Canis lupus familiaris: one gene and its partners. The protein of the gene in region 1 interacts with the protein of each later gene in a biochemical or structural test. Links are inferred from orthologs where the notes say so. Each region holds a gene or a part of one and is shown in the gene's direction. Other genes may lie near its edges. The genes, in order: POU2F1, RXRA, POU2AF1 and SP1.

Evidence for each region.
Region 2: the proteins of POU2F1 (region 1) and RXRA form a complex in vitro, tested with the Homo sapiens proteins (2 studies listed by BioGRID). The link is inferred for Canis lupus familiaris from reciprocal best matches to the Homo sapiens genes POU2F1 and RXRA.
Region 3: the proteins of POU2F1 (region 1) and POU2AF1 are reported together in a solved structure, tested with the Homo sapiens proteins (2 studies listed by BioGRID, with this or other methods). The link is inferred for Canis lupus familiaris from reciprocal best matches to the Homo sapiens genes POU2F1 and POU2AF1.
Region 4: the proteins of POU2F1 (region 1) and SP1 form a complex in vitro, tested with the Homo sapiens proteins (3 studies listed by BioGRID and IntAct). The link is inferred for Canis lupus familiaris from reciprocal best matches to the Homo sapiens genes POU2F1 and SP1.

Annotation. Positions count from the first base shown.
Region 1 is NC_049228.1:30,914,621-30,918,183, reverse strand, and holds part of POU2F1 (POU domain, class 2, transcription factor 1), read left to right. Parts: intron 1-1,101; coding exon 1,102-1,412; 3' UTR 1,413-3,563. UniProt on the Homo sapiens protein: Transcription factor that binds to the octamer motif (5'-ATTTGCAT-3') and activates the promoters of the genes for some small nuclear RNAs (snRNA) and of genes such as those for histone H2B and immunoglobulins.
Region 2 is NC_049230.1:50,625,058-50,628,620, forward strand, and holds part of RXRA (retinoic acid receptor RXR-alpha), read left to right. Parts: intron 1-1,686; coding exon 1,687-1,819; intron 1,820-3,292; coding exon 3,293-3,384; intron 3,385-3,563. UniProt on the Homo sapiens protein: Receptor for retinoic acid that acts as a transcription factor.
Region 3 is NC_049226.1:21,727,489-21,731,051, forward strand, and holds the end of POU2AF1 (POU domain class 2-associating factor 1), read left to right. Parts: intron 1-2,188; coding exon 2,189-2,503; 3' UTR 2,504-3,252; downstream 3,253-3,563. UniProt on the Homo sapiens protein: Transcriptional coactivator that specifically associates with either POU2F1/OCT1 or POU2F2/OCT2. It boosts the POU2F1/OCT1 mediated promoter activity and to a lesser extent, that of POU2F2/OCT2. It recognizes the POU domains of POU2F1/OCT1 and POU2F2/OCT2.
Region 4 is NC_049248.1:44,804,181-44,808,493, forward strand, and holds the start of SP1 (transcription factor Sp1), read left to right. Parts: upstream 1-1,482; 5' UTR 1,483-1,587; coding exon 1,588-1,594; intron 1,595-2,073; exon of another isoform or gene 2,074-2,481; intron 2,482-2,666; coding exon 2,667-2,821; intron 2,822-3,145; coding exon 3,146-4,313. UniProt on the Homo sapiens protein: Transcription factor that can activate or repress transcription in response to physiological and pathological stimuli.

The DNA of each region.
Region 1 (3,563 bases):
AGAAGAAATTAAACCAAAATTTTAATGCCGTTAGAAAACCCCTCAAATCTACATTTGAAAATGTGGTTTTATGGGTGGGAGGGTATTGGAGGGGTTGTCAGATGACAGAAGATATTGAGAGTGCAGAATTATTTCAAAGAAAAGTTCAGTGATGGCTTCTATGGAGCAGCGACAGCGTCATAGAGAAATTCTCCCTCATGAGAGCAGGCCCTGACCTCAGCTAGCCCCTAAGGCCGTCTGCCTCAGTGCCTCTCTGCTATCCTTCTCCTGTGTACAAGTAAGTCCTAGGAATCAAATCGATGCCTCGGCAAGTGAAACAGTAACCACACGTTACATTTTATTTAGTAATAGAAAATTATTTTAGAACTAAAGCCATTTTGAAGGATCGTTTTCATCCTGTACATCATACTAAAAAACAAGTACTCAAATTTATCAATGATGCCAGTTATTGGCTAAAAGCTAACCATATTTTAATGCGCAGTCACTATACCTTGTTTGTCTTTTGAATGAAAGTAGTTTAAAATCAGCAATCTTGGGATCCCTGGGTGGCGCAGCGGTTTGGCGCCTGCCTTTGGCCCAGGGCGCGATCCTGGAGACCTGGGATCGAATCCCACGTCGGGCTCCCGGTGCATGGAGCCTGCTTCTCCCTCTGCCTGTGTCTCTGCCTCTCTCTCTCTCTCTGTGACTATCATAAATAAATTTAAAAAAAATATATTTAAAAAAAAAATAAATAAAATCAGCAATCTTCCTTAAAAACAAAATAATTGGACTTAATAAATCCTTATAGGAGGATGAGGTACTCTAGGGAGATGAGGCCCCAAGACGGCAGCATGTGTGATTCAGTAGTGCTTGGCTCTCCCCTCCCCTCCGTCCTGTGTGCTCATTAAATTATTTAATAATACAGCTGCTCAGTCTCTTCCAAAATTACAAATACACTTCAGTAGGTGACAGGAAAGTGTTATAAGAGAGAACATCAATGAAGGGCTGCACTCTTTCCACCCAGGTTGTAGGAAAACTCAGTGCATTTGATGTGTTACTTGGCTTCTCTAGAATGGTTTTAACATTTTCCTTTCTGCCTGTTTGGGGGGATTTTGTCTGTAGCTCTTGCTTCCGGTGGCTCTCTTCCAATAACGTCACTGGATGCAACCGGGAACCTGGTATTTGCCAATGCAGGAGGAGCCCCCAACATCGTGACTGCCCCCCTGTTCCTGAACCCTCAGAACCTCTCTCTGCTCACCAGCAACCCAGTGAGCTTGGTCTCTGCCGCTGCGGCCTCCGCAGGGAACTCTGGACCTGTAGCCAGCCTTCACGCCACCTCCACCTCTGCTGAGTCCATCCAGAACTCTCTCTTCACAGTGGCCTCTGCCGGTGGGGCCGCTTCCACCACCACCACCGCCTCCAAGGCACAGTGAGCTGGGCTGCACGGGGCTGCCACTAGCCTTTTCCACTCGCGGCATGATGGGGCTGCCAGCCAGGCTGAGACTGAAAAATGTGATTGGCTTCCTCTTGCCATGTTTCAGCAGCAAGGGAAGAAGGGAGAGAAGGAAAAAAAAAATGCATACCAGAACAACAAAAGGATGGAGACAGGACAACATTTGCCTAATTTTGTAATAAAACACTGTCTTTTCAGGATTGCTTCATGGATTGGAGAACTTTCTAACCAAAAATTAAAAAAAAAAAAAAAAAAGCAGAAACAAAAAAATCAAAAACAAACAAAAAAAGAAGTGAAAGGACTACTTCTCATTTCCAGCAGTCATGGTGACAAGTTAAGGTGGGTACCAATTCCAATATAGGAAGGGGGTTTCTTGTTTGTCTAAATTTCTTTTTTTCTTAAAAAAAAAAATCATTTTTATGGGTCTGTTGTACAGGCCATTAAGTCATAACAAGGTGTTTATAATCGTATCAATTGTGTTGGGGGTTCCTTTCTTAACTGGTACAATTTAGGCAGGCCTGTATTACTGTATCTCTATTATTATTGTTGTTGTTGTTATTGTTTTTTATATATATATATAGTTTGGACATGTTTATCTCTTGCTCCTGGATCCTATTTCAGTGAGCTCCCACACTGTGGGGAGGGAGGGTTTGGGGGTCAGGGGAGACTTACGTTCTTAACTGCGGGGAATGTTCTTGCTGGTTTCCTTATCCTTGATGACTCTTACAGAGGTGCTAGAAAATTATTTTCTTTTGCCACTTATGCAAGAGGCTTGGTGCAGAAGCTGAAGGCAGTGTGTGCAAACACTCCCACTCCACACACGCCCCCTCCCCCCATCAGGTGGTGCCTTTCGAGCACTTTTGCGTAGGAAGGAATTCCTGCTGAACTGTAGCTCTCACTCACCCCAGATCATTGAATGACCCTGAGGCCCAGATCCTGCGGTGCACAGGTGCTGCTTCTGCCACTTTCAGCGGGAACGGCCATGCGTGTTGCAGGACGGGATCTGGGCCCGAAGAGCAAAGACTACTGCAGACACCTGACTTGGTGGTTCTCCTGATTTCTTATCTCCTGAAAAATGCTCCTACTGTTGGTGTGTTTGTTTGTTTGTTTGCATTTTGTGGAAGTTTTTCATCCAAACTTCCTTTCATTTACTTGGCAAAGAGCGAATTGACTGATTGAAATTGGGAAACTCCGCCCTTCTTTTGTTTTCTAAAGGAACTCCACTAGACTATTGCCATCCATTCTATATCCCCAAAGAGGTGTGATGAGAAGAGTCTGAGGCCACCACCTTTGCTCTGGCCACAGACCCCTTTTCACTGGACGGCGCGTAAATCCCTCTAGCCCTGAGACTCTCCTTGCTGCCCTGACTGGGGAACGCACTTACTAGCTGGGCATGGGGTCTTTAGAACCTTTGAAGGACTTTGAGCAGGAACTTTGCACACACCTCAAGTGTCTCCTTGGTTTGTTAGTGATGCTCCAGCTTAGGCAGGTCACAATGGAAATACACGTCTCGCTGTACAATGTAGAAAGTGATATATAGCTTCTGGAATTGTTTTCAGGGTGTTTCTAGACTATGTACATGAGCCCACAGAGAGGAAGAGTTTATGGAAGTAGATGAAGAGGAATGGAGGGTAACATGGAAATTCAGTTCCCCTTCCTGTCAGTGTGCTGTCATTACAGTATCTATACCAGAATATTTCCCGGAAGCCGGGGTCACTGCAGTGGGGCTCATGTGAGCTCCCCTCCTTATCGGAGGTCAAGGTTCCCAGTTGGCGTCTGTGGGTGCTTGCTTATGTCTGTCTCTGGTGGCCCAAGACTGCACTTGCCCCCCTTTTAAGCTGGGGTCTGAGAGAGGGTGTGTAGGTCATTTTCATTCTGATCGCTCTGCTTGTGTCCCAAGGGAGCTTGGAATCTTTGTATTTGTCTCTTCACAGTGTTGAGAAAGGCAGTGACACAGACACAGTGCATATGTTTGTGATCATCCAAGTGGGAGACAGGCACCTTAATATTAAAAGGCCAGAAACATTTTTAGTCCCTTTGTTAGTTTTTCTTTCGTTGCTTCTGTCTTCCTGTTTTATTTCACAGAGTATTTAATTATCAACCTAAATTTCCTCTTCTTACCATTCACCTT
Region 2 (3,563 bases), on another chromosome or scaffold:
GCTGGCCAGGTGGGTCAGAGCCAGGGGTCCAGGTTGGCCCAGTTCCTGATACGTGACAGGCGTACCAAGTGGAGACCCGTTTTTGCTGAGACCAGGGTCCTCAGTGCACATCCTGGCAGTGGGGCAGGAGGGACAGGTGAGCCAGGTGTGCTGGTGCTGGGCCTCCAGTGGGGGCCGGCAGGGAGCACCCCCCACCGAGCCAGCCTCCTGCCCCACTGGGCCACCTGCACGAGCTGGGTGCTGCCAAGTGCACCACCGGCGGAAGGCTGCACGACACCAGCTGTATGCCAGGCCAGTGCTGGGCGCTGCGGGAGCATCCCAGGGCAGCCCATGTGTGCTTGGGGCAGTGGGAGAGGTAGCAGCCGGCCCAGAGGTAGGAGGAGGCTGGGCATGCCCTGTGGGGGATGGATGGCAGGGAGACAGAGTGACTCCAGAGTGATCCGCAGTGGGGGGAAAATGCACTTGGGGCCAGCTCTGCCCCCGGCAGAACTCTTGTCCCCGGGCTGTCGGCCTTGGGGCCTGGAGAGCCTGTGGGCTTGGGTGCCTATGGGCTTGGGGGCCTGTGGGCCTGGGGCCTGGGGACCTGGGGGGCCTGGGGGCCTAGAGGCCTGGAGGCTTAGGGGCCTGGGGGGCCTGGGGGCGTAGGGGCCTGGGGGCCTGGGGGCTTGGAGGGCTTGGAGGCCTGGGGGCCTGGGGGGGCCTGTGGGCTTGGGGGCCTGGGGGCCTGTGGGCTTGGGTGCCTATGGGCTTGGGGGTCTGGGGGGCCTGTGGGCCTAGGGGGCCTATGGGCTTGGGGTCCTGGGGGCTTAGGGGGCACCTAGATGCCTGGGGGCCTGTGGGCTTGGGTGCCTGGGGGCCTAGGGGACCTGGGGCAGGGCGTGCCTTCTGGAAGAGCTTTCCCTCTAGCTGGGGCTAAATCCCCACACCCAGAGCCATCAGGGGAGGTGGTAGGGGCGGCAGAGGCCTGGGTCCTCGCCCTTACTCACCATATGACAGGGTAACCCCTACCCTGCCCTGGGCCTGTAGGATTGTAGTCAGGATGATGTGTGACAGGCTGTGTGGGGCCATGAGTCACGGAGCCCGGGGAGTGTGGCAGTGTCAGTGCTGCACCTGTGGAAGCGGCTTGGGGCTTCCCCGTCCACAGGACTCATTGAGATCCCAGCACAGAAATAATTTCTATTTCAAGTTTTGCTTCCATACTTTCTCGTAACCCTTGACACCCACCCCAGTTGTCTGCACCGGGATCTCATGAAAATACTGTCCGGTTCGCCTGAGGCTTTAACACACCTTATGTCAGTTTAAGAATTTATTCTTTTGCGGTGCCCCCCGTAGCACATGGGAGTCTGAGAGTTTGCTGCTGAGACCAGGTTGGCAGCAGCTGCCCCGTGGTGTTCCACAGAGAGGCCCTCTGTCCTCCATGGCAAGAGTGTCCGGCACTTGTGGGAGGAGACTTCCTGGGCACATGGGCTTGGGAGCACCTGGGTTGAACAGAGCCAGAGGGGATGCTCCGTGCAGGACTTCTTGGGAAACTTGTTGCCCTAGTTGGCATGTGGCTCAGAATCTCGGGGTCCGCGGCACCTGCAGTGGGGTGTTCTGTGCTGGTGCGGCCCATGGAGGGCGGAGTGGCCGACCCATCATGGGGAGGGACACAGCCACGTGACCGTGCACCCTCCCCTCCCCGCCCAGGCTGGAATGAGCTGCTCATCGCCTCCTTCTCCCACCGGTCCATCGCCGTGAAGGACGGGATCCTTCTGGCCACCGGACTGCACGTCCACCGGAACAGTGCCCACAGCGCGGGGGTGGGCGCCATCTTCGACAGGTGGGTGCCCCGGGCCAGGTTCGTGGAGGGTGTGGATGTGGACATGGAAATTGGCATACAAGGACACAAGTTCAAGCCTTTGCACGTCCATCCACCGGAGACTTGACGACCCCAGCGTAATGTGAGGGTTCATTTCCTCCCGGCTCCTTTCTTTAACATCCTGTATCCCGTACGTGGAAAGAGGCGCCGTGCTCCTTGGGCGGAGGTTATACAGCAGGTGCAGTCCAGCAGTGGCCCTGGGTCTTTGGAGCCGCAAGCCCTCGGCTGCATGTGTGCCACTGCTCCTCCTCCCCGACCGCAGGTGGGCGCGCGCCTCCCTGCACCCCTGCGTCCCCTGGCTCCCCAGCAGAGGGGCAGCACTGGGCAAGGGGGCGGCCGCATGTCTCCATTCTAGCTGCTCCCCAGCCACTCAGCCCGCTGGAGGAGGAAGGGCCGGGAGGGACACACTGTGGGCCATGGGGGCAGGAAGGTGGTGGCAGGGCTCCCAGGGAACCCCCGAGCGGAAGAGCCTGGGGTCAAGGGTGCACAGACCCTCCCGGGAATCACCCACAGGAAAGTGAATGCAGGAACTGTGCTGCCCTGCGGGCAGTTCTGGTAGAACGGAGAAGGAAGCCCTGGAGCCCACTGGGATGTGCCAAGTGCAAGTAGGGGTTGTGGCCACATACACTGGCAAGCACTGGTTTTGCAGGGGATAGGTGGTGTGTCTTTGTGCAGTACTTCTCAGGGCCTTGAGAGAGGAGCCACCAAAGGCTGCTGGGAGTATGGCACTTCAGTGCCCCCAGAGGCCCCTTGTAGAGAGTGCAGTGCTGGGATGGTACTTTGGTTTAGAAACGCAGCCCCGCCACACTCCCAGCTGCTAGGGCAGTAACAGGGACAGAGGCTTGGGCTTCTACCCAAGGAGCAGCGGCACAGGGAACCAGCTACTTGCCATTCAAGTGTGTGGAACTTGTGACCCCTGCCTCAGGGCATCCCCTGGCCACAGAGTGGTGGACATCCGAGCGCCCGTCCCCTCCCACCCTGTCTTCGGTCTCCAGGGGACCGTGTCCCTCTCCAGCCTGCAGACCCTCGGGGACTCTGGCTCCTTGGGGTGACCGTCCAGGCCCTCCCCAGGCCACTGTCCTCTGTTTCCCTATGGTCCAGCCTCACTGACCACTTAGCACTTCCTGGGCACAGCCATCGAGTTTGGGGAACCAGAGACTGGGCTGATGGGGTCGGGGAGCTCAGGCTGGGGATTTGGGACCCCATGGGGCGGGCCAGTCAGGCTTGGGTCAGAGTCCCGCCCTCTGACAGAGCGGGAGGGGAGCCCCAGTCCTGGGCTGGGCAGCATCCCGGGGGGTGGGGCCTGTCCTCCAGCTGCTCCCTGGTCCCCATCCAGCCTCCCTAGCCCGTCCTGGGGGTCTTTCTGGGGCGGGGGTGCCCTGGTGAGGGGCATGGTCTGACTCAGGCCGTGGTGTTTGCCTGCTTCCTCTGCAGGGTGCTGACAGAGCTCGTGTCCAAGATGCGGGACATGCAGATGGACAAGTCGGAGCTGGGCTGCCTGCGTGCCATTGTCCTCTTCAACCCGGGTACAGCTTTCCTGGCATGGCCTGCCGTCCGGCCTCGGGCCCGAGAAGCCCACTCGTGCTGCAGACTAGCCATGCCGCCTTCTTCTTGTGGCTCCCAGGAGTGGGACGCACGGCAGCCACTGCATGCAGCGGGGGGTGGAGGGCGGGGGGGTGGATCGAGAGCCGTGCTTGTTTCATGC
Region 3 (3,563 bases), on another chromosome or scaffold:
AAGTCAGACACACCTGCAGGATAATTTTTTGAGTGTTGCCTCTAGCATCAGATTGCCTGGGTTCCCTTCATCCCTTCACTTAGGAGCTAGGAGACCACAGAGCCTTGGTGCCCACATCTGTGAAATGAGAATACTGATAAGAGAGCTGATGCCAGGCTCCAGTGGGAGGGCACATGTGGAGGACTTAGCATAGTTCCTGGCAAACAGAAAACTCTCCATAAGTGTTATTATGATTGTCTCAAAGTCGGCCAGCAGCATTAACTAAGGGCTTCCTTCAAGTGCCAGATAGGAAAGGAATGAAGGAAGAAAGGAAGATAAATAGTTTTATATGAGTGACACCTGTGTGAGCAAAGGAATGGGAATCCCCCAAGCGTTCAGAGAAGGAAAGCTCCGTGGGAGTAGCCATATCCAGCTGCAGTTCAGGGTAAACTGTGGGAGGTGGAGCTGGGGCCTCATGAGTAGCTGCAAAGCCCACGTTGATGATGGAGTTTGCTTTGGTTCCTTGCCTCCTGTCCATTTCCCTCAAGAGTTGAGTGTCATCCTGATGCACCTGCCTTTTCATCACTATCCAGCCCAGGGCCCACAGAAGCCCTCCTGCCCTGTGCCCCCTGGCTACCCAGCAAACCGGTTGTGGGGCCTACATGGTGGTACTAGGAAGGAGTGCCTTCAGCACCTTTCCCAAGCAACTCATTTCCATATCGGGGGCCTTAGGTGGGGGGAGGAGGTGGCAGATATAACTGTTCCCAGTCATTTCAACCCCAAGGATTTCTTTCATTATTTACCTTTCATTATCTCCACCTCCTACTTTGAAAGGTTCTGTGTATTAAACAGACTGTATTTATTAAGAAATAATTTATTTGTTTTGCCACTTTGTAATTAACTCATCAAAGCTGGTTGGAGCTACCAGTCAGCACTCCTGATGAGCAGGAGCTAAGACCTGTTGTAGCACTGGGTTGACAGAATTCCATCTCTGAGTAAAGAAACCTGCAATTACAGGTGGCCTGCATGGGTTTATGACTCAAAAAAGTAGGATTTCCATTTGGATTTTTGAAGAACTGGAAATTTTAAGGCTTTGCTGGGAAGCTGGAAGGCCTCTGAGACCCTTTCCAGCTCTACCATTCTGTAGGAAAACACTGTAAGCCTTGCTACTCCAACTATGGTCCCTGGACCAGCCACAGTGGCATCACCAAGGATCTGAGTGGACTTGCAGAATCCCAGGCCCTACCCCAGCCCTCCTGGACCAAAATCTGCATCATAACAAGATTCCCAGGAAACTGACATAAACTCTTCCTGAAATGACTCTAATGGTTTACTCTCACAACACAGTGGCAACCAGACAGAGATAGGATGGGGGAATGAGGGACAGTGTGTGGGGGGGGCGGATTTGGGCCTCTCTTACATCATTTCATGTAGAGACCTTCCTCCTCCACCTGCTTCCTCAGCTGTAGAAGATAGGAAGGACCCAGGCCCTTCTCTCCTGCAGGCTTGACCTCAGGTTTGCAGTGTGGTAGCTGCACAGGTGAGAGGCATAGTTTGCAGGGCACCTGAGAAAATAACCCTGGGAGAGCCATGGGGGTCCAGCTCAGAGATATGAGGACGAGGACGTGGAAGGCGCCGGGAAGCTTTAAGGAAAGGCTAGTTCACTAACACAGTAGTGCTTCCCCAGCTTCTAGGTCTGCCCAGAACAGGAGGGAGGTGAGTGGGGCTCTGTTGGCTTGGGTGGATCTCAGGATGTCAAGGCTGCCATAGGGAGCCAGGGAGCCAGGGCCGTCTTTGTGTCTAGGCCTGCCAGTAGCCAGCCACCTTTGGGATATGGCTACCATGCCAGGGGACAGGCTTGTTAACATGCTGTACTTTCACTGATTTTTAAGATGGACATTTCTCCCCACCCACATTTTAATATCTTTGAAATTGGGATGCAATTTATATTCAATAAAACCTGGAAAAGCATCTCTAATCAGCTCGGCCCAATGGTGTCTGTTCTATAGGTAACTCCATATAGAAGAGAAATGGACACCTGGGGAGGTGGTGTGAGCAGGGACATGCAGCTGGTGACTTGGACCCAGCTCAAGTCTGTGTGGCTTCTGGGGGAGACTGAGCAGGTGGAGACAACACCAGGACAAGGATGGGCAAGGCCAAGGGGGTCCCCAGCACTGCTAACCCTTCATCCTGTGTCTTTCCATCACAGACGAGAAGTGCAGCTGCGCCCGCGGTCGGGCCCCAACTGGAGGGCCCGGAGCACCAGGCGCCCCTCACCTATTTCCCGTGGCCTCAGCCCCTGTCCACTCTACCCACCTCCACCCTGCAGTATCAGCCTCCGGCCCCAGCCCTGCCTGGGCCCCAGTTTGTCCAGCTGCCCATCTCCATCCCTGAGCCAGTCCTTCAGGACATGGAAGACCCCAGGAGAGCCATCAGTTCCCTGACCATCGACAAACTGCTTTTGGAGGAAGAGGATGGTGATGCCTACGCACTCAACCACACGCTCTCTGTGGAGGGCTTTTAGGGCATGCTCCTGAGAATCCTGTTCCCTGAAACTGGGATTTAAAACAGGGAACAAGATTCACATCTCTTTGGAGTAGCCATTTTATGACTACACTTTGCATTCCAAACTAGAATGATAGACTTTCCTTCCTCCCTCTTCTTTCTCCTCCCTGCTCCCTCTTTCCCTCCTCCCTCTCTTCCTTCCCTCCTCTGTCCTTCCCTCCCTCCCCTCTTCATTCCTTTTTTCCTTTCTCATTTCTTTTTCCATTTCAGCTCCTATTTGAGAAGAAATTATAGGGATTTAGTGATAATATTGACACCAGTGTTGCAGACCTATGACCCAGGTGCTTTTACTTCTGCCTCAGTTCATCAATTGGGACAGCAGCCCCACCGAGCTGGGGGCCAGCAATGCCCTACCATCTGTCACTTTAAGATGGATGGGGTGTCCTACCGCCCCTCCAAGGGCAGACCCAATGCCAGAATCCTTGAGCTGTCAGTTCACATGGTGGCCCCTTTGCTGTTCTCAGACTTACAGTGTCAGGCAGCAGAGTCTCAAGGCCTGGGGTTCAGTGAGGTGGTGGGAGTGAGGGTCCTGGGGGTGGGTAGGGTCTGGATCAGGGGACGGAGGAGGGAGGGGAACAGGTGTGTGTGTGCCTATGGGGGGGAGGGGGAGGAAAAGATTGGGTGGAGAGAAAGAGGGTCCAAGGAGCCATTCTGCTCCAGATTACTTGGTGATTAAGGAGAATAAACTTAAGAAAAATATCGGTTTAATTGGTGGTTTTGTTTTTCTCCTTGAGGATCTTGCAAGGAAAGCTGGGCTCTATACTCAGGAGAATGAATAGGTCTGTGCTTCTTCCCCTGTGCAGACCTTCCATGGGGCTTCCGCGGGGGTGGGGGTGGGGTGGGGGGGCAGAGCCACTGAAGCCCAGGGGTGACTGGGTCCTCACTTAGTGCTGCCATATGCTTCTTGTGTGTTTTAAAAAACTCCACAAGCCAACATTGTGTGGAGTCAAGGCCTCTTTCCTAAGCACCATCCTTCCTGGGGGATTCTAGAGCCTCTAGTAGTACTGCGAGGTTTCATT
Region 4 (4,313 bases), on another chromosome or scaffold:
GACCCCGGGACCTCGGGGTCACGCCCTGAGCCGAAGGCGGACGCCAAACCGCTGAGCCCCCCGGGGATCCCCGGGATCCGGACTTTAAAGCGTGACCCCAGGTCACCAAGTGCCGCACTGAAAATAATTTAGTGACAACACGAAGATACCAGGAGGGGCCGCAGGGAATGACCTCCGTGTCATTGACGACTCACCCAGGCCGCCTCCACCAACACCAGGGGAGGGGGGGGAAGCGAGGTAGAACGGGAGGTGCCAGAAACGCAGGTGTCTGAGGGGAAAGTGTCCTGTGACTTTGGTTACAAAGGCCCGCGCTCTCCTCCTGCCGTCGGACGGGGTGTGTGGGGAAGGAGAGGCAGGAAGTGGCTGACAGGACGCGGACTCTGGGAGGTCCTCCAGGCCCAGCTCTCGAGAAAGTCAGCGCCGCGGAAGGAAGCCGCCGGCCGCCGTCTGCGGGAGAAGTCGGGAAGATGGCGTCCGCCGGAGTCGCACAAAAGCCCTTGCGGACGGTCGGCGCGGGGTTGGCCGGGCGCGCGCGCACCCACAGGGCCGACACCCACACTCCGAGGCGCCCGCCCGCCCGTCCGCCCACCGCGGGGAGGGGGACGCTGGGGGGGCCCCCGAGAGAGCGGCCGGCGGGAGGCAGAGCCGCGCTCCGCCCGTCTCGACCCTGACACTTGTTGCGCAGCACGGCCCCACCGAAGCGCGCCACCTAACCACTGCAAAGACGTCCCCTGAGGAGGGCCAAGATGGCGGCGGCCTCCTCTTGGCACAGCCCTGCTCCCTCCCCCGCGACGGGCGGCTCTGGCGGCGCCCATTGGCCCCCCTGGGGGCGGGGCCTGGCCCCCTTCGCCGCCTCATTGGGCGGACCGACTGAGGGAGACGCCGCTTCTCCTCGGCCCACCCCAAAGTCCCGCCCCCGGAGTGCATTCGGCGTTCAATTGGCTTCTCGTTCACGTCAATTTGCGTCCCCGCTTGTCTTGTCTCAGCGTTGGCCCAATCCTAACTTTCCTGGCTGCCCGCCTGATTTCTGATTGGCTGTGGTCGGCTTCATCCTATCCCATTTCGGCCTGCTTCTTACCCCCTCCCACCGGGGACTTTGCCCAGGCATGTCCGGGCTTCTGGTTGGCCGATGTTCTGTCATTCCAACCTAAGCTCTCCCTATCCCCACCGTTCAGGGAGCCCGCCTGGCGGTTGACTGGCTCCCTCCCAAGCCTGTCATCACTAGCTCCCGCCCACCCCCACTTCCTGCGCCTTTCATTGGGCCTTAAAACTGAGAGGGCGGCCTCCCTGGGCGGACACCAGGCTCGCAACTTTGTCCTACACGCCTTAGAGAGCCAGTGAGCCTTGCCATTGGATGACCCACGCGTCTTTCTTCCGCAAGTCCCGCCTTTCTCCCTCCCTCATTGGGCGGGGCAGCAGCGAAGGGGCGGGGCCTAGGCCGGGCTTGTGGCGCGCTGCTCCCTCCTCCTTACCCCCCCCCTCCCTGTCCGGTCCGGGTTCGCTTGCCTCGTCAGCGTCCGCGTTTTTCCCGGCCCCCCCCAACCCCCCCGGACAGGACCCCCTTGAGCTCGTCCCTCAGCTGCCACCATGAGCGGTAAGGATGAGTCCACTCCACGCTTAGGGGTGGGAGGGGAATGAGGGGGCGCGCGCGAGGGCCGACCGGGCGGTCCCCGCCGTGAGGGGGGGCGGGCGGGAGGCGGCGGCGGCGGCCTTGGTCCCGCCCGGGGCGGAGGGAAGGGAGGGAGAAGGGGCAGTGGCGGGGCCTGCGAGAAAGCGGGGGATGGGCCGCCCGCCCCGGGGGAGGGGGCAGCGTGGCCTCGCCCGCCCCCTGCCCGCCCCGGCCACGGGGGACGGGCCTTACCCCCCACTATTCGGCCGCCCGCCTGAGGCTCCTCCCGCCGGGGGCTGGAGCCGCGGGGGCGGCCCGAGCAGTGCAGGCCCCGCCCGGGCCAACCGCCTCCCCGGTCCGCCCTCTGGTCGCCGCCTGCCCCAAGGCCCTCCCCTCCCCCCGTAGGTTTCCCCTCCCCCCCACCGTCCCGCCCTTTCCACGCCCCTCACCCCGAAACCGCCCTTTCCTTCCAGGGCCCGCCCTCTGTCCGCCCCGAAACCTCCAGATTCGTAACCCCTGGACCCCGTAGCCCCTTAGCCGTATCCACAAATGTTTCCCCACTCACACTTTTTTGTTTTTTCTTTCCCCTTTGCCCCTCTTCTCCTCGTGCTGCTTTTTACCCTTGAGTTTTTCTCTTTCTCTATATTCTTTGACCCTAATTTTAGCAAGCTTTCCATCCACCCACATGTTGTTCTTTGCCTTACCTATCCCTCTCCTTTTTATCCCCAGGATACTTTTTTTTATTTTGAAACTCTTTGAACATGTCCATCGCCCCTCACATTTCCTATACGAAAAGTACATTTTTAATGTTTCCTGGGTGTAATTTTGTGCCAGGGAAGAATTGAGGCCCAGTTTCAGCACTGCTAAGCCAAGTCTGTGTTCTATGTGTCCTACAATTGCCCTTTCCTCAATCCACTTTTTTTTTTTTTTTTTTTTAACGCTGGTGCCTTTCACCTTACTGTTAATTATTTGTTTCATCATAGCGTCCTTTATCCCTCCTAACCTTACCCTTTTCCTTCCTCCAACTCTAAGTTGTTTATCTTTTAATTCTTTTTAGACCAAGATCACTCCATGGATGAAATGACAGCCGTGGTGAAGATTGAAAAAGGAGTTGGTGGCAATAATGGGGGCAACGGTAATGGTGATGGTGCCTTTTCTCAGGCTCGAAGCAGCAGCACAGGCAGTAGCAGCAGTGGAGGAGGAGGAGGGCAGGTAAGTGATAAACCAGGGCAGAGTAGGGGAGATGTCTAGAGAATGTAAATATTCTTAGATTATTGTCTTTTCACAGAAACGTTTTTAGGAAAGCGCTAAACCATTTTGTAGCTAGGGAAGTTAGCACAGAGAGACAAATGATTGGGAGATCTCCAGAGATGAGGATTTCAGCAGTATGGATAGGTCAGCTTTTTGTTTCAGGTTTTTTTTTTTTTTTTTCCCTCTCTTTGGCTGCAGTTTTGCTGTTTATTTGTTTTAAAACTGCCCCCAGGGCTGGCAGCTGGGTGTCTCTGACTCCTATCCTCTCCCTTATTTTCCGGCCAGGAATCCCAGCCATCCCCTCTGGCTCTGCTGGCAGCAACTTGCAGCAGAATTGAGTCACCCAATGAAAACAGCAACAACTCCCAAGGCCCAAGCCAGTCAGGGGGTACAGGTGAGCTTGACCTCACAGCCACACAGCTCTCACAGGGTGCCAATGGCTGGCAGATCATCTCTTCCTCCTCTGGGGCTACCCCTACCTCAAAGGAACAGAGTGGCAGCAGTACCAATGGCAGCAATGGCAGTGAGTCTTCCAAGAATCGTGCGGTCTCTGGTGGGCAGTATGTTGTGGCCGCCACCTCCAATTTACAGAACCAGCAAGTCCTGACAGGATTACCTGGAGTGATGCCTAATATTCAGTATCAAGTAATCCCACAGTTCCAGACCGTTGATGGGCAACAGCTGCAGTTCGCTGCCACTGGGGCCCAAGTGCAGCAGGATGGTTCTGGTCAAATACAGATCATACCAGGTGCAAACCAACAGATCATCACAAATCGAGGAAGTGGAGGCAACATCATTGCTGCTATGCCAAACCTACTCCAGCAGGCTGTCCCCCTCCAAGGCCTGACTAATAACGTACTCTCAGGACAGACTCAGTATGTGACCAATGTACCAGTGGCCCTGAACGGGAATATCACCTTGCTACCTGTCAACAGCGTTTCTGCAGCTACCTTGACTCCTAGCTCTCAGGCAGTCACTATCAGCAGCTCTGGGTCCCAGGAGAGTGGCTCACAGCCCTCCACCTCAGGGACTGCCATCAGTTCTGCCAGTTTGGTATCATCACAAGCCAGTTCCAGCTCCTTTTTCACCAATGCCAATAGCTACTCAACAACTACTACCACCAGCAACATGGGAATTATGAACTTCACCACCAGCGGATCAGCAGGGACCAACTCTCAAGGGCAGACACCCCAGAGGGTCAGTGGGCTACAGGGGTCTGATGCTCTAAACATTCAGCAGAACCAGACATCTGGAGGCTCTCTGCAAGCAAGTCAGCAAAAAGAGGGAGAGCAAAACCAGCAGACACAGCAACAGCAACAAATTCTTATCCAGCCTCAGCTAGTTCAAGGGGGACAGGCTCTCCAGGCCCTCCAAGCAGCACCATTGTCAGGGCAGACCTTTACAACCCAAGCTATCTCCCAGGAAACCCTCCAGAATCTCCAGCTTCAGGCTG